Linked DNA regions of Diceros bicornis minor. The protein of the gene in region 1 interacts with the protein of each later gene in a pairwise test. Links are inferred from orthologs where the notes say so. Each region holds a gene or a part of one and is shown on either strand. Other genes may lie near its edges.

Evidence for each region.
Region 2: the proteins of DRAP1 (region 1) and GTF2B interact in binary tests that used the Homo sapiens proteins (3 or more experiments, as listed by UniProt). The two-hybrid records come from large-scale screens. The link is inferred for Diceros bicornis minor from reciprocal best matches to the Homo sapiens genes DRAP1 and GTF2B.

The regions. Positions count from the first base shown.
Region 1 is NC_080770.1:7,366,160-7,377,651, reverse strand, and holds DRAP1 (dr1-associated corepressor), read left to right. Parts: upstream 1-6,928; 5' UTR 6,929-7,099; coding exon 7,100-7,141; intron 7,142-7,378; coding exon 7,379-7,451; intron 7,452-7,562; coding exon 7,563-7,656; intron 7,657-7,971; coding exon 7,972-8,091; intron 8,092-8,188; coding exon 8,189-8,303; intron 8,304-8,540; coding exon 8,541-8,629; intron 8,630-9,000; coding exon 9,001-9,106; 3' UTR 9,107-9,235; downstream 9,236-11,492. Other genes in the region: C31H11orf68 (UPF0696 protein C11orf68 homolog), read right to left, coding at 5,061-5,817, 6,517-6,638. UniProt on the Homo sapiens protein: The association of the DR1/DRAP1 heterodimer with TBP results in a functional repression of both activated and basal transcription of class II genes.
Region 2 is NC_080743.1:24,860,769-24,873,454, reverse strand, and holds the start of GTF2B (transcription initiation factor IIB), read left to right. Parts: upstream 1-7,740; 5' UTR 7,741-7,822; coding exon 7,823-7,839; intron 7,840-12,408; coding exon 12,409-12,515; intron 12,516-12,686. UniProt on the Homo sapiens protein: General transcription factor that plays a role in transcription initiation by RNA polymerase II (Pol II). Involved in the pre-initiation complex (PIC) formation and Pol II recruitment at promoter DNA.

The DNA.
Region 1 (11,492 bases):
GTGTCGGAGAGGGGGGTTGGCAGACAGGAAAGAGAAGCTCTGACTCGGGAGGAAAGGATTGGGGTTTGGAAGGGAGTCAAAGCCCTGAGAGGAAGATTTTGGCGGGAATGCTTCGCTGCCCTCTCCTGGCCTCTGTGGGTTCCGCTGATTTTTTTCTGCAGGAGCCTGCTTTCTCCCTTTAGCCTGGGAGGAGCTGGGGCCCAGGGCGTGACCCGCCTGTCCTCTAGGGTTCCCAGGGGGCAGAGTTGGGACCTGAGGGTGAAAAATCCCCGGAAACCAATTTAGACTTAAACCCCAGGGAGGCCTCTGCCCCCAGGGGCCAGAACTGCTTGGGGACCAGGGATGGAGCTCCCGGCCACAGGGGTGTGTGCGAGCGCTCTTGGGAGTTGTGGAGGCCCCCTGGAGCGATTCTAGCTTTGACTGTGGCCAACTTAACCTCCTTCTGCTGCCTTTTCCTCCTCAGTAATATGAGGGCTCTGAGGACTGAAATGAGTTAATGCGTATAAGCTGCTTGGAGTAGAGCCTGGCACAGAGAAGGTCTGTGGACAGGTTTGCTCTTACTGTCTGAGCTCAGTTTTCTCATCTAAAAAATAGGTGAGGGGAGGATACCTGAGGTGCCCCTTGTCCAGCCGTCTCTGGTTCCAGTCTCTGGTGGTGTTCCCCTGGAAGCTGCTCTCTATGCCCTGCCACCCTGTCCGGCTTTGCCCGGTTGTCCAGCCTGGGGGGTCTTCATGCCCTGCTGGGAAGCTAGTAATCAAGGAAAGATGGGTTTGGTGGGTTTCTGGGCTGGTGCCCTCAGGTTACCCTGCGGTGTCTGGGGGACGAACGTCAGAGAAGAGGGGAGTTTCCCTCTGAGGATGAATCAGCCGTGTGACCGAAGCCTGGTCCCCGCCAGGGCCCCTCCCAGCGGGCGGGAGTAGGGAGCAGTTGCCCTGCTGGGAAAATCCCCCAAACCTCGCCAAAGCTTCTGCTGAAGCTTTCTCCTGACTCAGCTGTTTCCTGTCCCCTGCCCCTCCATTCAGCCCTGAGCCCCAGCTGGAATCAGGGGTTGGGCAGAGATTCTCCCCACTCCCCAGGCAGCCCCTGTGGAGCCTCCTCCCTGGGGTGTGGGGGTTTGCAGTGCACGTGAGTGGGAGGAGGTGGAGTAGGGGGGTGTCTGCTTTCCCCAGCCTCAGTCCCCCTTCCTGTGGTTTTATAAAAGGAAGCAGAGCACAGGGGCTTGTCCACCTTTACCCAGCCTCACCCACCCTGGGCCAGGGCTGCATTCTTACTCCTGTGTGGGAAGAGACCAGCTGGACAGGACAGAAGCCCCTGCCAGCCTGAGGGGGTAGGTCTTGGGAAGCCCTTGGCCTGACAGGGAAGCAGTCCCCCCCAACCCCGTAGGCCTGGGAGATCCTTCCTGTCCAGGTAGGCTTAGTGACTGTATTCTGTGAGCCTCGGTTTCTCCATCAGTAAAATGGGAATCTTAGTCTTGGCCCAGCCTCTCTCCCAGGCAGTTCTGAGGACCCACGCTGTGCGCTTTACAACTCAGATCCTCAGTCCTTGCTGGCTCTTATCTATCTTTGCAGCCCCCCACCCCAACAGCACCTTCATACAGTGCAGGATCCACAAGGCATCAGGTGCTCTGGAGTCAGATGACCTGGATTTAAATCTTGGCTCTGCCACTTATAGCTTTGTAACCTCAAGCCAATTACTGAACCTTTCTGGGCCTCAGTTTGCTCTTCTGTAAATGGCAATAATAATAAAGTCGGGTGGGGCTTAGATGAGCTAATGTGAGTAAACACTTAGCATGGCGCCTGGCACTTGTCGTGAATAGAAGGAGGAAACTGAGGCCCAGAGACAGAGAGTGACTTTCACTTAGTCACTCATTTCTTCAGTAACATTGATTTGGCACTCGTGCTAGGCCAGGTCCCTATGCAGGACGCTGAGGACACCTGCGGGATAAAGCGCAGCCCTGTCCTCGAGGGGCCCCAGGCGCACAGATGAGAGCCACAGGTGGACTAGTGGGTGTTATGGAGCCTGGGCTGAGGATGGATAGGGGAGGAAGAACCTCTGAGAGGATGACACCCAAGCCAGTGGGTCTGAGACGTGGAGCCAGCCAGGAAAGCAGGTGAGGGTCAGGCACACCAAGCAGAGGTGACAGCATGAGCAAAGGCGCAAAAGTGACAAAGCCCAGCACGTGTGCGAGAAAACCTCAGGCAGCTCCTGATTCTGGAATAAGAAGGGTAAAGCAGGAAATGGAGGAGATGGGGCCGGAAGGACTGGCAGGGGCTGAATTTGAGTCATTCATTCATTCATTCATTCAATAATTTATGGAGAGATGGCTCTAGCCAAGCACTGTGCTAGGCTCTGGGGACAGGGCTGAGATCCAGACATTGTCCCTGTCTTCACTGAGGCCACATGGGCATGCGGCTCAGGGGCCAGCGGGAGACAGATATCAATCAAGTGGTTGCATAAGGAACCTCCCCATCCTTGCTGCACAGCAGGTGTTCAAGCAGAAGGAATGGCCTGAGGCCCGGGGCTGCGTGCCAGGGTGAAGGAAGTACCAGTTGGCTCCCGTAGGGTGAGCAGGGGTGGAAAGGGGCGCCTGCGGGAAGCCGGGGCAGCGGCAGGGGGCTAGGTCATGGCTGGCTCAGGAAAGCAGACTCTATTGCAGACTGTGGGGAGCCACAGGAGGGCTTTGAGTAGGAGAGGGACAGAGGCAGCTCTGCGGGAGAGCTGGCTGTGGGGGCACAGGGGGGAAGTGGGAGGGGAAGCGGGCAGAGCAGGCAAGTGCAATGGTTTGGTGAAGAGAGAGTGAGGAATGGGCTAAAGCAGGGCCATGAGGCTGGAGAAGGGATGAGCGTGTCAAACGCTTAGTTATGGAAGGAGAACCAGGCGGTGTTGACACCCCTTGGGCATCTTTGGGGGACCCATGAGGGCCTTCCCAGGATCCCCCACAAGCCTTGGCGCACTTTGGTCAAGTGTAGAGCACTGACAGGCTGGGGGAGGCAGGGCACCAGGCTCCAAGGGGAGACCACTCAGCTCTGGGGACTTCCCAGGGCTGGGTTTAGGGGGGACTCAGCCCTGGGGAAGCTCAGGGTGGGGAGGAAGCTGGGGAGGGGGCTGAGCCAGCATCTCATGACTCACCCACTTCCACCCAGTCAGCCCAGTGGCATCTCCGCTCCCCTGCTCCAAATTCCAATTTGGTGAGGCTGCTGGAGGATGAGTCAGCTCCGGCACGGCACGAGAGCAGTGTCCTAAGGGGCTCCCTGCCAGACACCCTGGCCTCCAACCAAGGCCAGGGCCAGGCACGGGGTTGGGGGGTGCAGAGCCAGGCTCCGAGGCTGCAGCAGCCTCAGCTGATCGGGGTGGCCCAGTGAGATCACGTGAGGGAATGTGCCTGGAGCTCCCTGTGGGTGAAGCCAGGGACCACACTCTGCCTGAGGAGGAGGCAGGGACCGGGGTGCAAGGCCTAGCTCTGCCCGACTCACCACGACTCTGAGGGAATTCCCTTCCCCTCTTGGCCTCAATTTCCTTGACCACAGAATGGGACCAACATCTCCTTTTAAAGAGGTTGTGATTAAATAATGCATAAGGAAGTGCTTTGCAAACGTTCTGTGGCCCGTGATGATTAGGGTGGTGGGAGAGGTGAGTATAAACAGGAAAGCTTCCAGGGTCACTTATGGTTGTGCAGGTTGTTCACTGCACAAGGATGTCCAGCCTAGATTTCGGAAATCCAGCCTATCTGCTGCTCACCAGACCGTGTGCCCTGGCCCAGAACTTCTAGACCAAGAGGATACCTTTCTCTAACAGGCGCCAATACACCCTGTAGGTTAGTAGTGGCCCCTCGGACTTTGCTGGGTTGAGCCCCTGGATTTATGGGAAATCACTGAGAAACTGATTCTGATTCTTAGGATGGAGGGGAAGCAGGGCTGGCTTTGCAGAGGCTCTCAGAGAAGTTCTCAGGCTTTTTTTTTTTTTTTTTTGGTGAGGAAGATCAGCCCTGAGCTAACATCCATGCCAGTCCTCCTCTTTTTGCTGAGAAAGACCAGCCCTCAGCTAACATCTATTGCCGATCCTCCTCCTTTTTTTTCCCTTTTTCTCCCCAAAGCCCCAGGAGATAGTTGTATTTTATAGTTGCACATCCTGCTAGTTGCCGTATGTGGAACGCGGCCACAGCATGGCCCAACAAGCAGTGGGTCGGTGTGCGCCCGGGATCCGAACCTGGGCTGCCAGTAGCGGAGCACGCGCACTCAACCGCTAAGCCACGGGGCCAGCCCCTCTCAAGCTTGGCAGTGAGGAGTATCTTATTATTGGGGGATGTTAGGGGGGCCCCATCAGAGCAAAGGGGCAGTCTCTCCTGGCCCTGCGTCTCTCCAGCAACCAAAGCAAGTAACCACCAACACAGTATTTTAAAAAACACTCAAGACACAGACCCAATCTGGGTTTTATTGAAATGCCAGGAGCAGGCACATGACAAGGTAGTGAAGGAAGGGAGAAAGGTGGTGCAGGCTGTGAGGGGGCAGGGAGGGACAGGCCCCATGTCCATGGCCCGGGCATCTTCTCTCTCTGCCCAGGGCTGAGTGGGCACACTCATCCCCCCAACAAAATGGCATGCTCAGGCCTGCAGGGCCTCTGCCTGCTGGTCTGTGAAGGCTCCAAGGAGAGAGACTGGAAGCCCTAAGTCTTTTCTCTTGTGAGGGAGGAAGAGAAAAAGGGGAAGATGCAGGAGAGGGGGGAGGTACAGCCAGGGATGAGGGCAGCCAAGGAAGGCTCTCCTCCTGGGGGTCTGCACCCAGCCTGCGGTCCTCGATGGCAGAGGGGAGCAGCAGCGAAAAGAGAGGCTGAGGGTCCGGCCCTCAGGGAGCCAGAGCCTCCAGGGAGCCAGAGCCTCCAGCCGGTGGGGACTTGAGTCAGCCCTGAACAGAGGGCAGAAGTTCAAGGGGATTGAAGATGCAGACAGTTCCCGAGTGACCTAGTCCTCAGAGCTGGGGGACTTGGCCTCCTTGGGACAAGGAAGACGGGAGGATCCATCCCTGGCAGGGAGGGCAGAGAGTGGTCTCCCCTACTTGGCCCTACTAGGTCAGTTCCACGTTGTTGGCGCGGTCCAGCACACGGGAGCCGCGGGCACTGCCCCCCAGCTGGAAACGGCTCTCATAGAGCGTGGGGCAGAGGTGCCAGCGGTTGGCCCGGTAGATGCCCAGGTAGGTGTAGACGTCAGGCTTGTAGGTGAGCAGGCACTTAATGCCTGCTGCACGGATGGCTGCATCGGCCTCCAGCACACCCAAGCGGTCCGTGAAGTCGTCCGTGTAAACACAGATGACCTGGCGCCCACCCTCCCTGGCCCGTGGGCTCACCTTGGCCACCTGAAGCCGGCCCTCGACCACGGCCCGGGCAATGCCGGCCCAGGCGTGGTCCAGCTTGAAGCCAGGTGCCAGGTGCATCAGCCACTTGCCCGAGAGCACGTGGTGGGTGATGGCCAGCTGGCGCAGGGTACCTGGCGTGATGGGCCGCCCGCTGGTCTGCAGAGCTTCCCAGGCTGCCTGCAGGCCCTGCACGTCGCCTGAATTGGGGACGTAGCCCTGCCCATATGCTGCAATCCAGCCCACGGGCTCCGAGTTGGGCGAGCCAGGGTCGCCATAGCGGGTAACTTGGGATGGCGGGTACTTGGCCAACCAGGCATCCAGCTCTGAGGCAGGTGTGGTGCGGGCATCAAACACCAACCAGGGGTCCATGTCAGCTGCCATGGCCTCCGCGGCCAGATGCTCAGCAGTGAAGCCATCCTCCCGGCCGCCTGGAGAGTCCTCCTCCTCCAGCTCCTCACCTGGCTCCATCCTGAAGCGAGGGAACCGAGTTAGGGCAGGTCCAAGACAGATCTACAGCTTACTGGGCCCTAGAAGGGTGCTAGGCACTAAACTAAGCTGTGTGGCTTTGGGCAAGACTTAATGTCACCGTTCCTCTGTTGCTTCATCTTTAAAATAAGTAACAACTGTTCCTGCCTTGTAGAGCTGTTGAGAATTAAATGCCTGACGCGGAACACGAGCTACGTAAGTGTTGTTGCTAATGTTATCACTACTGTCCCTGACTTACAGATAGGAAACTGAAGCTCAGAGAGAAGGGACTTACCCAAGGTCACACCTGTAGAGAGTGACAGGGCCATAATGTGCATTCAGGTGTGGAAGCAGCCGGCCCAGCCACACCTCCTGGCCCTGCCAGTCACTGGCAGGTCCCCGAGCGCCGGGATTTAATGGAGGGAGGAAGACAGGCGCGCAATCGCGCAGCACTGGGGCAGGCCCTGCAGGGCCAGGCCTCCCGGGGGGGTGTCATCGGGCCTATTTAAAAACCAGGACATTGAAGCCCAGAAAGGGCTGTGACGGGTCCGAGGCCAGTGGGGCGGTGCCCGGACTCGAACCCAGGCTGGTGGGAACCTGCGGGAGGGCCAGCCGCCGGCCAGCCGCGCCCGCCGCCATTAGCGCCCACGGCCCGAGCTACGCTCCCGCCCGGCCCTGCCCCCTCCCGCCGCCCAGCCGTCACCTCCGGCCTTCGCTGCGCTCGGCGCCGGCCCAGCCCCGGGCCCGGCTCCGCTCCTGCCGGGGCTCCGCGCCGCCGCCGCCGCCGCGCCCCGCCCCCGCCACGGCTGCCGCCGCCGCCGCCATCTTAGCGCCTCGCCGCCTCAACAACAACTTTATAGACAAGCGCAGCGCGGGGCGGGGCCCCCGGGCCGGATCGGCCGCGCCGCGGGGCGGGGCCGACGAGGGAAGGGGCGGGGCAGGTGGGGGCGGGGCTGACCCCGGGGGCGGGGCCGTCAGGGAGCCCGGGGAGGGGCGGGCCTGCGTGGGCGGGGCTAACGTTCGCTCTCCTGGCCTTGGGCGCGGGTGGGAGTGGCGGCCCTGTCCCGGACCGACGTGCACCGCCCGGGAGGCTATAAGGGGAGGGCACTCGAGCCCTGGGAGCGGCGTCTTGACTGGCGGCGCTAGGACCCCGTGGGGAGCGGCAGGGGCGGAGCAGGCGGCGCCAGGACCCGGGGGAACCGCGGCGGGCGGGCGGCGAGCAGGCCCCGGGGCCGGGAGGCTGCGGGCGGCGGCGCTGGGCCCGGCGCGGCGAGAGAGTCCCCGAGATGCCGAGCAAGAAGAAGAAGTACAACGCCCGGTTCCCGCCGGTGAGCACGTGGCCGGGCCCGGGAGGAGCGGCCGGGCTCTCGTGAGGCTTGTGCCCAGGCCCCGCTGGGGGGGCGGGCGCTTCGCGCTGTTCGGGGGCCCGGACGCCCCGCCCCCTTCCGTGCCCTCCCCGCGTCCGTGCCCCCCTCCCCCCTTCTCCTGGGATACCCCCCTCGCTCGCCCCCAGCACCCCTTTCTGGGTCGGAGGCCACGGGGTCCGAGCTCTCTCCCTTCCCCAGGCGCGGATCAAGAAGATCATGCAGACAGACGAAGAGATTGGGAAGGTGGCGGCGGCTGTGCCTGTCATCATCTGTATCCTGTTGGGGGCTGGTTGGGTTGAGGGACGTGGGAGAGGGAGGCAGCCCGGGGTCGCCTGTGTGGGCTGGGGACCCCCCTAGCTGCGTTCTCCTTGACACCCCTCAGCCCGGGCACTCGAGCTCTTCCTGGAGTCGCTATTGAAGAAGGCCTGCCAGGTGACCCAGTCCCGAAATGCCAAGACCATGACCACATCCCACCTGTGAGTGGCTGCGGAGCTGAGAGGGCTGAGTGGGGCCGTGCCCCAGGAGTTCACACAGTTAGGGGCGGCTGCGTTCTTATAGTGAGGGAGGTGGGAGGCTGCTGGGAAACCAGCCAGGCCTCCAAGACTGGTGGGTTTGAACTGGGGGAGGAGGAGTTGGGTGTTCCAGCAAAGCGGGGGAGGTCGGGTGGTGGAGATGGGGTGGAGGCTTTCCAGGCTCTGTTCTCCTGACATCCAGAGCCTCTTACTGTCCCTTGCTGAGGACCCAGACATCTGGGCCCCACCTGAGTGTCATCCCCTCCCCATCTCTTCCAGGAAACAGTGCATTGAGCTGGAGCAGCAGTTTGACTTCTTAAAGGACCTGGTGGCATCTGTGCCTGACATGCAGGGGGACGGGGAAGACAACCACATGGATGGGGACAAGAGTGCCCGCAGGTGGGGACCGAGGGCCAGTGTGCAGGTGGAGAAGGCCAAGGCCACCAGGGTTGGGGGTGGCTGGGGGGTGATGAATGGGGGGGTGACCTCTGGGCAGATGGACTGTACCTTCTCGAAGGGGCCGGAAGCCAGGCAGCAGTGGCCGGAAGAACGGTGGGATGGGAAGCAAAGGCAAGGATAAGAAGCTGTCGGGGACAGACTCGGAGCAGGAGGTGAGTGAGGCCCCCAGCCCTCTGTCTCGTAGTGTGCAGAGGGCAGGCTTGTCTCAGGCCGGGCTGGCTGGAGCCTGGTTCCATCCTCACCTCTTATCTCTTTGTACCTTGGTTTTGTTGTTTATAAATTGGGACTATGGAGGTCACCCTCCTGTCCCTGCTACTCTCAGGGGTTTGTGCTTTCCAGTGATGAGTCCATGCCTTTCATGTCACTTCTCATCCCTACCTTGCTACCAGGATGAGTCTGAGGACACAGACACCGATGGGGAAGAGGACACACCGCAGGCCCCACCCCAGGCCAGCCACCCCCCCGCCCACTTACAGAGGTAAGCAGCTCAGTGGGCGCCAGGAAAGGGCCAGCAGACTCCCCAAGGCTGACTTGTCCCTCCTGGCCTCCATGACCACTTGGATCTATTGGTTGTGGCAGATTTGGGGCATGGGAAGGGAGAAACTGAGGAGGGCTTAAAGGTAGGAGACTGTGCTCTCCGAAGGTCCCTTCCACTCTTGGGCGGGGCAGTGGATGGGGCCTGGGCAGGGACTGTGTGACCTGCTTTGGGCCCTTCCCTTCTCTGGGCTTGGCTCCCTATTGGTACCGAGGGCGGTGGGCTCCATGCTGCCCGTGTGGAGGGCAGGGGGTGGCTTAGGGGTCAGGAATGAGCAGTGGCCTGACCTTCCTCTCCTGTTTTCTGCCTAGCAGCCCCCCGACACCCTTCATGCCCTTTGCCTCAACTCTGCCTCTGCCCCCAGTGCCCCCAGGCCCCTCAGCACCTGATGCAGAGGATGAAGAGGATTATGACTCCTAGCGCCCTCTGCCCCCCAGGCCACACCCCTTTTTAGTTGGTTTTGGTTGTTCTGGGGGGAAGAGAGAAGGTAGAACTGTTCTTAAATTTATTAAAAAAAAGAAATAAAAGGGAATGCCAGTGTTTGTCCCAGCCTCTGTCTAGGGCTTTGTGGCCACCTTGCCATCTTTTCACCTGCCTTCTCCACACTGAGCTGGGGCCAGGAGTGGTGGTGGGCCAGGCAGCAGCAGAGTGAAGGGAGGGGCTTTACGTCACAGTTATGCCAGGGCAGGCCCAGTGGTGCTGAGGGAAGGAAGGCGGGCAGGGTGGTGTAGGGCCTGAGCCAGCAGGTACCCATTATGCCGGGAGACAACCTGTTTCATCGTGCTGTGTGACCCTGGGCAGGTTCCTACCCTTCTCTGAGCAGCCTCCTCGCATCTCTCTGATGGAGACCATTCTGTCCCTGCTAGGCTGCTGCAGAGGGATAGATGCGACAGGTAACAGAACAGGTCTTGAAAACTAGAACTTGGGCCAGGTGCCACGAAGGGTGTGAGAAGGGGCACTGGGAGCAGAGGTGGGCGAGATTGTGGAGGGCCTTGAAGGCTGGCTCACGAGAGAGCAGTGACACAGCACCACACCGGCTGTGGCCACTGTGAGTGGTGCAGGTGGGTTGTGATTCCAGCCGGCTAATCAGCCAGGACGCTCAAGCCCTGGGACTTAAGGTGGGACCTTTGGGGACCGGTTTTGACAAGGTTGCTGGCTTTCCCATGGCTCGGGTGGCAGCAGGGACCCTCTAGGAGTCCAAGCAAGGATGATGGCTGCCACACTGGGTAGCGAAGCTGGTGGAATGTAGGCCAGACGCAACTGGAAGCCACAAGTGGTGATCCTGACTGCGAACAAAACCAGCACAGCGGAGCCAGGAGGCTCAGAGGCCCAGATTTCTGGTGACATCTGAACACCTGGACCCGGTCTTGCCGGAAGCCTGTATACCTCAGACTTCTTAGTCCTGTGAGCCAATAAACATTTTTCCCTGCCGGAAGCCAGTTGGGTTTCTGTCACTGGTAACTGAAGAAGCTGCGGCTGACAGGGACCGTGAATGGGAGGGGTTCCCATCGGCCCGGAAGCGGGAGGTAGTTTTCTCTAGCAGCAAGTCGTGTGCAGTCCCAGGGGAGGCAGACTCCTGGGGTCCACAGAGCTGAGGGCATGCTAGTGGGGGTGAGGAGCTGGGGTAAGAGAGGAAGAGAGCCTGGGAGCCTGTTGCTGGGCTCTGTCCAAAGGGTGAGATCCTGAACTGAGAAGGTTCAGAGTGAGGAGGCTGGGTGAGAGTGAGGAGGACGATTGGGGAAGGCCAGGAGGCCACGGTGCAGGGAGTAGCCCCTTTCATCTAGGCAGAGGCTCGAGGAGGTGTGGGTGGGGGTGGGAGATGCCCAGGAGCCCCTGGCCTCTGCCTCTGCATTCTCAGCCTGTTGGCTCACCCTTGGCAGGGTGCTTACGAGTGGAACTTCTGGAGCCAGGCCCCGGGTTTAAATCCTAGCTTCTGCACTTACTGGCCTCAAACAAGTTCTGTAGCTTCTCGATGTCTCAGTTTTTCCATCTGTAAATGGGACTAGTTATTACCTATAGTTATACATGCTATGCTGTATATACTAGTTATACCTATTAGTTAAGGCAAGGGCCTGATGTAAAACTCAAACTGTTTAGGCTCAAGTGCAGAGGAATTTTCTTGCTCATATAAGGTTTATATTGGGATTTATCTGATTAGTGGGTGGTGCTTCTGCAAGAGGGACGCCAGGGCCCAGGCTCCTTCCATCTTGTGGCTCCACCATCCTCAACCTATGACTTTCAGGATCACTGAGGAAGGGGAAAGCTCAGAGCCTATGGAGGTTTTTCTGGGCCAGGACTAGAAGTGGCCCCATCACCTTTGTTCACCTCCCACTGGAACTGCCACAGGACCCACCTGAGGGAGGCTGGGGAAGGTCCTCTAGCCAACCTGAGTGACCGACCAGCCAGTTTCGGCCATAGGACCTCATAGGCCGTTAGGGAGGACCTGACCCAGCTTTCACCAAGTGTTAGGAGTGCAGCCTCCTGAGTCAGAGGTTAGGGGCCCCAGGGAGACGGTGCTTCTGGCTGGGCCAGGCCCCTGGGTGCTTCCTGGGAGTCGGGAAAGATGGTTCTGCCCTGCCCGTGGGCACCACTGGGCACCGGGAGGGAAGCCTGTCAGTACCCCATCTGCAGAGCTCTACCTGGGAACCAGAAGGTTTTCTTTGTTTATTCTCTATCCACTGAGGAGCCTTGAGCCTCGGGCCAGGTCCTGTCTGAATGCCTCAGCCTGGCCTTGGCTGTACCCTGGGGTGTAAGTGTGACCAGTGGGTAGAATGGGAAGCAGCTTCTGAGGCCAGTGTAGCATCCA
Region 2 (12,686 bases), on another chromosome or scaffold:
TGCACTTGGCTCCTGGCTCCCAGACAATTAGATTCAATAGAGCAATGGTCCACAAGCCTTTTTAAGCCATGTAGTTCATACATACACACACATATGCACACACCTGCACACAGACACAAAAGCTTGGAATTACACCCATCTCCCTTTGGCCTGGCAAATAGATATTTCTAATTAGGGTCAGTCCAAAATGATATTGCGAGGATGTCTCAGCCCCTGCTGTCCAAACATGGGGAAATGGGCACTTAAATCCGTGCAACATTTCTGGAGGGCAATTTCACAATATCTGTCATAATGTTATATGAGTGTGCCCTTTGATGCCCTCATTCTATTGCTAGGTTTACACTTTGAACATGCAAACATTCACCCACAAATATGAACATGAGTGTTCACGACAGCATTGTTTATAATGCTGGAAACAGCATTATAAACAGCATTGTTTACTGGAAACAGACAGCTCCTCCATTATTGGCAGTGTAAATAAATTATGGTCTCTAGTCAAAGAATGCAGTTCATCTCTGTCACTTGAAAAAAACTAATATACTACTGAACATAATCTGTTTTGTGCAAATAAAACAAAAATGCATCAATACATTAATATGCATGGGTCCAATATGGATGCGTTCTACATGAATTTGAATTATGCAAATTAGGTGTTGGGCCATATAAAAATATTAATACAGTCTTTCTTGTGCTAAGAATTTTATATAATTTTAATTTCCCCAAATAAAAAAATTTATTTAAAAAATACATAATTTCAAGACTGGCAGGCCCTGTACTTATACAACTGCAACAGGGCTGTGTCACCAGAGCTGTAAACAGCGCCATCTTTTGGCCAAGGTGCTGAGGTGGGAGGGAGCTGGGGAAGTTGGAGGAGTTGCATGGCTGCCGCTGGGGTGTGATGCCCCAGCACCATTTTCCCCGAACAGCCTTTTGTGCAGTAAGCGGGAGTAGCTGTCTACAGCGCTCTACGAAGGATCTTAAGTCCCGTAATCTTTCTCCTTCCTCATTTCATAATCAATTAAATGGAATATTAATAGATTCAAATACTTTTAAGTTCCAAAAAAAAGTACTCAAAGGTATGATCTATCACCGTGTAGTTTAGTTGTTTGAAAGCAAGCCATAACTAAATTCTCATTAACTTAAAGTGTATATGGCTTTGGAACAATTTTCTGAAAATTTGAAAACATCAAACAAGTCTAGTTATTGTAGATGTAGAGATTTGGGACCATTTAGTTTAGTGGGAAAGTCTCAGGATCTCTATTGTAAAAGCAAACTATTGACCTTGGGTTTGTGGGGAATCTTTCGTTTTTTTGTGTGTGTGTGTGAGGAAGATTAGCCCTGAGCTAACATCCGACGCCAAGCCTCCTCTTTTTTCTGAGGAAGATTGGCCCTAGGCTAACATCCGTGCCCATCTTCCTCCACTGTATATGTGGGAAGCCTGCCACAGCATGGCTTGATAAGCATTGCATCTGTCCTCACCCGGGATCCGAACCTGCGAACCCTGGGCTTCAAAAGCAGAGGGCGCGAACTCAACCGCTACGCCACCAGGCTGGCTCTGGGAATTGTTTTCTTTAACATTAGCTTCCACGTAACAGAAAAGAAAGCAGAAAGATATAACCAAGCCCTCATTCACAAAATAGACAACGATGTAAGACTACAGCCGGAGTTGAACATAACTGAGAGAGAAAGATGATAATCTATAGACAAGTCAGGAGTGAGCATTTGATGAGCGTGCCACAAAATTAGCTTGAGAGGTCCAGACACCGGGATAGAACAGATGAATACAAATAGTGGCACGGGCTTTTATGCAGCTTTTATACTGCATCTTGATGTAAATGCCATAGAATCAAGTCATTAAAATAGTGGAAGATGGCTAAACCATTGTGGGTTTTGTGGTTTTAATAGAAAAGCTACACTCAAGTTAACTTTGATTTTTTTTAACCTGAAAAAACCCACCCCAATAAAAGTATTCTATGTAACTGATGGTGTACCAAATACCACCTTTATTAAGCTATATTTGGGAACTGCTCATCTTACTGTCATTCAAAACACTCACTAAGAGACTTGGTTTAGCAGTGGGTATATTGTTAACACTCAGATAATAATAATACTAGTAATGGTCACGTGGACGCCTGTGATGTCTGAACATGAGACACTGAGCAGAAACTGCCCCTTTTGGCAAAGATCAGTGGTAGGATAGTGGATGGCAAATGCTTTCCTTCACAAAAGTTTGGGGGCAGAGTCCTTTCATCTCGTTACTGTGAAAGAGCAAAATCCTAGGTAAGAAAGGTCAGAAAATAGTGAGAATGAGCAGGTATAATGGACGATTTTGTAGAAGACAGAAAGCACAAAGAGAAAAAAAAAAGGAAAAAAAGGAAAGCTAGCTATAACGGGAAAATCCTCTTGGCAAGCCTCGCTAATTTGGTTTTATTGTGAAGAACAGTCAGAATAATGATATTTTAAAATATATTCTTTCATTCACTCAACCAATGACTCTCACAAACCAATATTTATTGGATGTCTTCTGTGTGCAAAAGGTTAGTCACAAAGGTCCAAAGGAAAAATGAGGGTGCTTCAGCCCTCGGGGAGCTCACTGCAGCTCCCTTTAAGCCCCTGAACTAACAGAATTGGCCCTGGTAAAGTGTTGCTTAGAAAAGGTCCTTGGTACATGCATTGGTTTTACCATCTAAATTGCACTAAGACTTTAGGGACCTTCTGTATATCACTGTCCTATTACAAAGGTATAAGTTGTTTCCTGTTTTATAACATTACAACCAAAATTACAATTTTCCTATTTTTAGCATTTATCTTGCTTCCTATGTTATATTATTATAAATAACACTCCAATGGACATCTTCATGAACACAGCATCCCATATTTTAAATTATTTCCTTACTCCAGTTCTCAGAGGTGGGATTACTGCTCAAGAGGCTTTAACATCTAAATCATTCTTGGAGTATTGTCAAATTGCTTTCTAAAAGGGTTGTATCAATTTATAATACAGTGAGCAATGCATGACAGTAATGAGAGAAGCAATTTTATATTCTCATCACATGGTTATACTTTATAAGTAATACTTTCAGAGTTTTAATTTAATATTTAAATAATATGAGATTATTTGAAAATAGGTACTTAGGTTATACAAGCAGGTATTTAGCATGTGATTTTCATGGAAAGAGTAAACATCTAATGTTAAAATTCAGTCTTGAAGAAAGTGTCAAGTAACAGGTCACATGAATATGGACATGTTTCATGTTCTCATTTTTCCCCAGTAGTTTTTGAGAGCACTTGAAAATCATTAATAAGACTTTAAAGGCAAATCTTATCTACATTAATGTACTTAAAATGTACTTAAAAACATTTTAAGGAAATTATAGTCTCATATAACATTCAATTTCTCCATATTTTTTATTATAAAATGAGAAAGTGGTTATTTTGGGAAAAAATATTATCTTCAAGACATATGATAAAACAACACTAAATAGTGCAGCATAACTTTTGAAGTCACATTCTTAATGCCAAATGATATCTCTTTGGAAAAAATATTAATTTTAAAGGTCACAAGCTATTAACGTGAGCCCTTTTGAGTTATTTTGTTTTATTATCAGAGTAATTTAGAAATGTAAGAGAAAGCTACTGCTCACTGAACATTGAATTAAAAAGTGAATTAATTTCTAGCAATCTTCCTCCCTGATTCTGTAAGGAAATAACTGATGGTTAATATTTTCTGTTTGTAGCTTATTAAAGTTGTAAGCCTGTATTCTACTTCCTAGCACTTGGAGAAGCTGCTGGCTTTTCTCAGTGAAAAGCTGGATTTAGTCTCCAATGGAGGACAAGCCACCAACACTGAGGAATCAAAGATTTCAAATAAATCAACAAACAAACAAATGGAAAAGTTAAATTCAGGTTCACGTATGCAAGTACGTTTAGCAGTGGGATATGAGCCAGCCACATTTCAGTTTAGGTAGCACACAATTTTACAAACACAAGTGTCGTTACGTGGACAGCTGGCCAAAATATTTTAGAGCACAGCTGCCCCATAAAATCAAGCCCACATGATTGCTGCAGGTACACTGCTTGTTGAATCCATTCCATGATCTTAAAGTCTATAAATTGAATTTCTGTATATTGAGTTTCTATTAAGAGGCATATTGCATAGACTCTGGAGCCAAATTACCAGGGTTCAATCCCAGCTTTGCCATTTACTAGCTGTGTGACTTCAGGCTAGTTACTTAACTATTCTGTGCCTCAATTTCTCCATCCATAAAATAGGGACAATAATAGTATCCAACTCATGGAGCTGTTGGAAAGATTAAATAAGCTAATATATAAAAAGCCTTAAAATAGTACCTGGCACATAATAAGCACTATATGAGTGTTTGCTGCTGTTCTTAATATCATGATTATTCATTTTTATTACTACTTCTACCTGAATTTAAATAAAACTTTATTCCTTTATTAAGGAATCAAAAGGATAGTGAATGCTTCTACAAATACAATCTGTATTTCCCAGGGCACAGTAATTTGGGCCTAAAAATATAGTCTTGCAACAACAGTTATATAGCAGGCATGCAGAAAAGTGGGAAAATCTTAGAGTCAGTCATTCCTGGCTTTGAATTCTATCTCCACCACTAACTTATTGTGTGACTCTGGGCAATCTACCTACTCAACCTCTCTAAGCCTTTAGAAGGAAAACAATAATACTCGCCTGACCAGATAACCAAGAATTAGACAGGATGCATGTGAGGTGCCTGACAGATGGCCCAAAGCAGAAGGACCTCAGGCCTACTTTCAAGAACTCCCCTACTGCTTGCAGCTCCATGTGCGGCCATCCCTGTTCCCTCTCTGGCTCCCTGCCACCTTCAGCAGGGGCTTACCCTGCTGCCTGGTGAAACCAAACCACCAAGAAGCAGGCCCTGGAGAATTAAGCACCAACTGAAAACTTAGTGTGGAAAGACATCATTGGTACTTTAGTGAGTATTATAATGCTATATAAAAAAGATTTGAAAGTCCATATTTTTTAGAAATGTACACTCAAGTATGTATGGGTCAAGGTGATATATGGGACTTGTTTCTAAAATACTTTAGCAAAGGGAGAAAAAAAGGCAAGCAAAGGATACATGAAACAAATGTGGCAAAATCTTGATAATTGTTTAATCAGGATAATTGTTTAATGAGGATTCATTATATTACTCTAATTTTTAGTGTGTTTGAACATCTTCATACATGATAAAAAAACTGAAAAATTAAGTAAAAACCTCACATTTCTAGAAGCAATACATATGGCCCCTTAGCCACCAGGCACATGAGGCTTGTCTAATATTCTAGACATTTCATCCCATTTCCAAAGAGTCCAAGTCAGATCTGATTATACATTTCACTGAATCCTCTGTTCTTCCTAGTCCAGCAGAACATGCCATGTAATGTCCAAATAAATATTTGTCAAACCTTGCTCAAGTTAGGAAATTGTCATCTTCTCCAACATCACCATACAGATCCTTTTATAACAGACACTTATATACCAGCGTTTCCAAAAGTGAGGCCACAAGATAGATCTAATGAACCTCCACAACATTATGCCAAGTGAAAGAAGCCAGACCAAAAGACAATATATCATACGATTCCATTTATATGAAAAGACAAGAAAAGGCAAATCTACAGAGAAAGAAAGTAGATTAGTGATTCCTGGGCTGGACGTGGAATGGGCATTGACTGTACATGCACATGAGTGATCTTACTGGGATGATGGAAATGTATTAAAACTGGATTGTGGGGATTATTGCACAACTTGGTAAAATTACTAAAAATCATTCACTTCTAAACAGGTGAATTCTGTGGTATGTAATTATACCTCACTAAATTTTTTTTTAAAGAGATATATCTAGGTGGGTCACAACTTTTAAAAAATCATCCACTACGTATGTAAAGCATTTTATACTTTAGAAGAACTATAACTAGCACATCAAGTTGCGATTCCACAGTAGTGACATAAACTTTTAAAATAAATTTTTAAATAAAAAAAGATGATTTAATTTAAATAATTAACTTAAATTATTTTAATTGATTAATCCACATAATTAAGGTAAATAAAAATGATGATAATAACAAACCAGAAGTTTTGGTAAATGCTGTCTGAGTCATTGATTCCTAGGTTGTGTGTCGAACCCCAGTTGTGCCTGTGTGTGTGTGTGTGTGTGTGTGTGTGTGTGTGTTTTAATCTCAGAGTCAAATATAAAGATTAAATGGGATAATGTTGATAAAAATACTTTATCAATTGCCAATGCTGTATTAACAAAAGGAAAGGATTGACCTACCTAAACTTCTTCTAATTTAATATAAAAGAAATCCTAACTAGGTTATGACAGATAAGAGACTCTCCAGGCGGGGCAGAGTAATTTAACCAATTGCCCAGCTACCTTCCTCTGGGGTGTCAATTTCTCCGATGGTTTCTTCCTTCCACAAACATTACCGAATGCCTACCATGAATCCATTACATAGTAGGTCCTAACTCTTGATCCTCAAGAGGTGCCCGGTTGCCCTGCTCCTCCTCTCCCTCTTCTCCCAAGCCAAGATGCTCTACTAGGAAAACTTCCTACTGGCTTGGTGTGGAGCACCCCCAAGCCCTTTCCTGGTTGCATTGGCACAGCTGAAATGAATTGGCCTTTCTGAAACTTTTCCAAATCTTAAGAGGCTCCCCTGACACACACACACGTACAGTCAAGTTTTTAAACTGCAGAATTACAGACTGGAAGTCAGAAAAAAAAATTTCTCTTCCATCCCCATCTAGATTTCAGTTCCAAAACTCCTGCCTCTTACACCCCTTATTCTTTCTAAGTAAGTGAGTCCTCCCCACTTTTCAAGAACACAACGAGTGCTCAGCAGCGTTTAAGTCCTATGCCCAAAAGAACAAAGCAGCCATTATAAGTCCTCATCCTCACAGAACCCGGATCACCCTCTTTCCGCCGATCCCCACAGGGTCAAGGTGGTTTGTTTTCAGCAAAGTGGTGGTAGTGTTATTGTTATTATTATTACTATTCTGATGTTAGTTTGGCTAATTAATAAATCTAGGGACCTTTTGCGGTATCTAAACGTTCTGCTAAGTTCTCTATGCTTCAACTGTCAGCCAAATTTGCAAAGCCCATGAAAAAAACCAATCAGGATAGGGCCCCATATCTCCCTGCCTCACTAGTGCACTGTGCTCTCACATGGTTTTGTTTCATCTCCTGCCAATTCTGAAAGGGTATGCAAGGCACATAATATTACCCCTTGCACCGAAGGCGAAGGGACGTGCTTAAGAAGACACAGCTGGCTTGCCGATGACAGAGCCTGAACCTACACCTGTTCTAGCTGACCTAAGTGAATTTCTCTTTTTATTCCAAAGTCCTTAGGGGAATCACGCCTCTGGGCAAGTAAGAATTGCGCTTAAACGAGAGTAACTGACTCCCGGGTGGAGGGGTTAGTTAGCTTTGCCCCCACCACGAAGCCCGGGTTGTTTTTATGTTTTAATTCAGTCAAGTTCTGGGTATCTCCGTTGTAGCTCCTTTTCAGGGTTCCCTGGAAAGTTTTCTTGGGTAGTTTTGTTGATTCGCCCAGCAGCACGGCAAATTACAGAAACGGAATAGGAGAATAAGGACACGCAAAGCACGTGGCCTACAGGATCTCATCTTTCTTGGTCCTTCTCGCGACCCGTAGCCGCTCCCCCTTACGACGGCGTGTGCCGTTCGCCTATAAAAGCCCGTCTTGGCGCGTCCTGTCGCCACAACGTCTTCCTGTTTGCGGCGCGTCTGTTGCTGCTCCTTGCTGGACCGCAGTGGCCGTGAAGATGGCGTCTACCAGCCGGTTAGTACGTCCGGCCGAGCCGGGCTCGCAGGGGTGCGGGCGGGAGTGCCAGGGCTTGCCAGGCGGCCGCCGGGGCGGCTGCGTCGGGCGGAGCGCCCCGGAGGTGCGGGGAGAGGCGGCGGGGCTGGCCGGCCGGCCCGGACAAAGGCACTTCCAGACGGCAGGGCTGTCAGGGGTGTCGCAGCGGGTACCGAGCGTCGGCGTTACCGCCCCGGCGTCCTAGGTCGTCTTCTTACCCAGGCACCACCCTGTGGGGGTCCCTGTCTCCCCAGGCCCGGCCTCGCCTCTTTTGCGGATGTTTCAGCCGTCTTATCTTGTTGTTATTTCTTTCTGCGCTTGTTTTTCCACCTACGGCTTAACCAGCCCAAGGGGCCGTGAGTCCAAAGAGCGGGAAAGGATTCTAGGCCCCTGTCAGTCTGACAGCTAGAACGTTAGGGACGTCAGCATTGCTAAGCCTGATGGAAACTGGTTACCATCCCAGAGGCCCTCTTAAGTGAAAGCTGAGGCATTTCCAAAGAGTTGATAAGTTCCCTTATAAGAGATTTCTTTACCAATGTTGTCTTCTGCATACTCCTGAAGAAAATCTTGCCTGCAGAAAATTACTTACATGTGCTGGGAAGTCACTCTTTAATATGTTTTTAAAATGTGGTGCATACATATCTACAGGAAATGCGTGCAGTGCTCTTAGAGACAGCCCGTAATCCTGTGACCTGGAAAATGCTTGCAGACCCTAATTATATCTCTCATTACTATTATGAGGTAGATATTGGTATTTTTGCATACGTGTAAACTGAGTCATGCCACTGGTGACTTTTCCAAGATTGGTGTTAGAACAGAGTGTAGAGTCTCAAATATCTATTTCCTGTTATCATACAAATGGCCTTAAGTTAACTCATAATGTATTAAAAGTATCGAGTGCTATAGCTTCTGGATGGCAACTCTGGAATAATTTTTCTAAGCTGGTTATCCTCTGTGGAATTGAGTTCCCAATGAAAGCCATCATCACAAAATAGCTAGAGAAGTCCAGGCCCTTTCTGTTAACTGCCAAGACTTACTACTTTATGTTACTGTTTTTTTTTTAAAAGGTGGGGAAGTGGGGAGAGGCAGCTTTAGCTAATGGCCTGTTTGAAAATAACTCTTAAAGCCAGTGACACTCTTGTTTACTGATTCTAATTCTATGATTGAATGCTCAATCATTCTGTCTGGGTGTGGCTCTGTCAGGTAAGGCTTCCTTGTAGGTAAATGGAAAATGTAAGCTTCCCAAAGACACATACATACGACATATTCTCTCATGGCAGTAGGTCTCAAAGGTGAATGTGGTCCTATTTGGGCACAGCTTTTGCATATAGTAGAATAGGAAATTGTATTTTTAGGAAATGTTGCAGGAGTTAAACACAGTAGATTCACTTTATAGATTCTTTACCCAAAGAGCACACTTAACTTTGTGTGCCTTTATTTTCTTCACTTGTTAAAAAAAAAATGTTTGAAATAAATTTTTTCTAAACATATTCAGCTCTTTTTTTTTTTTTTTTGTGAGGAAGATCAGCCCTGAGCTAACATCCATGCTAATCTCCTCTTTTTGCTGAGGAAGACCGGCTCTGAGCTACCATCTATTGCCAGTCCTTCTCCTTTTTTCCCCCAAAGCCCCAGTAGATAGTTGCACATCCTTCTAGTTGCTGTATGTGGGGCACAGCCTCAGCATGGCCAGAGAAGCGGTGTGTCGGTGCGCGCCCGCCATCCAAACCTGGGCTGCCAGTAGCGGAGCGCGTGCACTTAACCCCTAAGCCACGGGGCCGGCTCTTAAATATACGTATCATTGCAGTTATCTATCTCGAGTTTTTCTACCAGTGAGAACAAAGGTAAACGCTAGCATTTCTACCTTTAGTAGTTTTTTCCCTGAAGAAGATATACAGTTGCTAGGCTATGAAACTGCCTGGTGTCTTCACAGAGAAGAGCACAAATGTTCTGAGTTCATGTGTAAGCTCCATCACTTACTAGTTCTGCGACTTCAGACAAATCGTTCTCTGAGCGTAATCTTTAAAATAGAGATAATGCTTCTGTTGCAGAGTTGCTGTGAAGGTTAATAATAGATGTCTGGCACTAGACACATAGGCACCCAATACATGATAGCTTTAAAATGAGGTTTGGGAATATCTGGCTCCTTAAGTAGTCTCAGTTGTTTAATATCAGTGGTGGTTGTTTATTCCGTTCCTTCCGATTGTTTCTCTCCTTTACTTCCCCCACCACCACTCCTCTGGTTCCTCTTTTGTATTACTGTTGTGGGTAATTTGATTAAAAGTTGACTACTTTAGCGTGATTTCATTTTATTTTGGATAGGTAACATATACAAATAGTACAAAAAACAAGGAAAGTGAAAAGCAGTCTCCGTCCTTCCCTGTCTCCCAACTGTCTGATTCTCCCCCAAAGCAGACATTGTAACCAGTTTCGTGGTGTTTTCCTAGTGATTCTATGCTTTAACAATTATATGCATATCCTTCTAACCTCTCTTGCCCCCAAAATATAGTCTAGTGTACACACTGTTGTCTATCTTGCTTTTTACCTTTCTTATGAGGTTAACACACACATTTTAAGTGCACGCGTCAATTACAAAGTGAGCACATACACACAGCCCCCACCCACGTCAAGAAATCAAATACCGCTAGCACCCTGAAGCCTCCTTTGTGTCCTCAGTCATTACCCTTTCTCAAAGATAACCACATCCTGACTCTGATACCATAGGTTTGTCTGCCCGCTTTAAAGTTTATATAAATGGCATATGTATTCCTCTGTGTCTACTTTCTTTTGATCAGCGTTTGAGATTCATCCATGTTATTGCATATAACCGTAGTTCATACTTTTTCCAGTTTTGTATAAAATCCCTACCGTACTCTTTTCACCTAACATATCTTTGAGATGTTTCCATTTCATTTATATATATACACACACACACACTCTACAAGATATTTTATCTACTTTTTAAGAGTGCAAAATATATCAGTCGTTTTCTTCGTACATTGTGTGCCACATGGCTGCCCATTCTACACATTTGTAATTACTGTTACTCTGCTAACATTTTCCTGTATTTTGACATACTTTTTCATAATTTATACTTTCTTAATATATTATTTGTCATAATTTATTAAAATATTTTCCTAATAGAAATTTATGGAATAAGTGAGAGTATAAACCAAGCCCCTAGCCCCCATTTTTCCAATGAAAAGATCGAAGATGTGTTCTGGTTAACTCGAATATATAGATTTGGGGAATATGGATTATTTTATCAGTTTTTCAATGGGATCACCTTTTATGTTGAGAGTTAACATTCTGAATTGTATTTGCTAGCACCAGAAACTTTATCCAAAACCACGAATACTTATTTACATACTATAAGAATGGTTGATGTTGTCTTTTAGATGTATATTTGTGATGGCCATAAAATAACCTTTTACTGTGTTACTCATGTGAACTTTTAGAGAGGACTTATTTTCAATGATACCAAACATTTGTGATTTTGAAGTCATATGCCCAGAAATAACTACTAAATCTATGCTAAGTATCTTTGTTTCTTTTTTAAACTGATTCTGGGGGTCATTTTAGCCTGATATGTCTTCCCCAAACTGCTTTATTTTCAAAATAAAATAATTGATCACAAATAGGTTAAAAAGTAGCTTTTGAAACCATTTGTAGAATGCTAACAAACTTAATTCTGGACCAAATGAAATCGTCAGATCTTAAGTTCAGCAGAGCCACATCTACCACCCTCATTTACATGCCCGTTAGTTTCAGTGTACTATTCTAAATCTATTGCTAAGGTAACTAGCAAGTAGAAAAACACAGACTTGAAATTTATTCTCTGGCCAGAGAAATAAGTGGCAAGGGGCACAAGCCTGATGGTTATATATAATAATGTTGCACGTTATTATGGTGGCTAGTCATTTCTATCCTAATCAAGCTTTTAAAAAATCTTAGTAGCCTGCATGTTAATAGAAAAAACAGTTGTTCTCCTTTTAAGTTTTTAAAGCCTTCCATGTCGACACACCAGTTACTATTATAAAAAATAATTCCAGCTACTTGGCCATAAAAAAAGACAAAGTCGGTCCATTTGCAATAACATAGATGGACCTTGAGGGTATTATGTTAAGCGAACTAAGCCAGACAGAGAAAGACAAACACTGTGTGATTTCACTCATATGTGGAAGATATACTAACACATGAACAGAGAGACAAGTTTAGTGGTTACCAGAGGGGAAGGGGGTTGAGGGGTGGGCATAAGGGGTAAAGGGGCACATTTATATGGTGACTAACAAATGTACAACTGAAATTTCATAATGTTATAAACTATTATGACCTCAATAAAATAAAAAAATAATTCCAGTGGAATATACTTGTTAATTACTAGCTAGAATTTAAAGTAACCTGGGATGTTTACTTTGAAAATTTAGCTTAAGTGTGTTATAAACATATAGTATTGGTAAAATGTTCAAAATACTCCTTTTTCCCCCCCAAAGACTACTTTGTTACATGTTGGTTGGGAGGATATAAAATATATATATATTTTTTTTCATTTAGTTTGGATGCTCTTCCAAGAGTCACATGTCCAAACCATCCAGATGCGATTTTAGTGGAGGACTACAGAGCTGGTGATATGATCTGTCCTGAATGTGGCCTGGTTGTAGGTAAGCAGTTATTATGGTTTTCACTGAAATCACTATTTTGGGTACTTTGCTTTTGTGTGTTTTCCAAACTACCTTTTAATGAATACATTTTGAATTTTTTCCCTTATAGGTAATTCATATTTATTTAAAACAAACAAAAAGAATTAGAAAAAAAGAAACAAGTAAAGTATA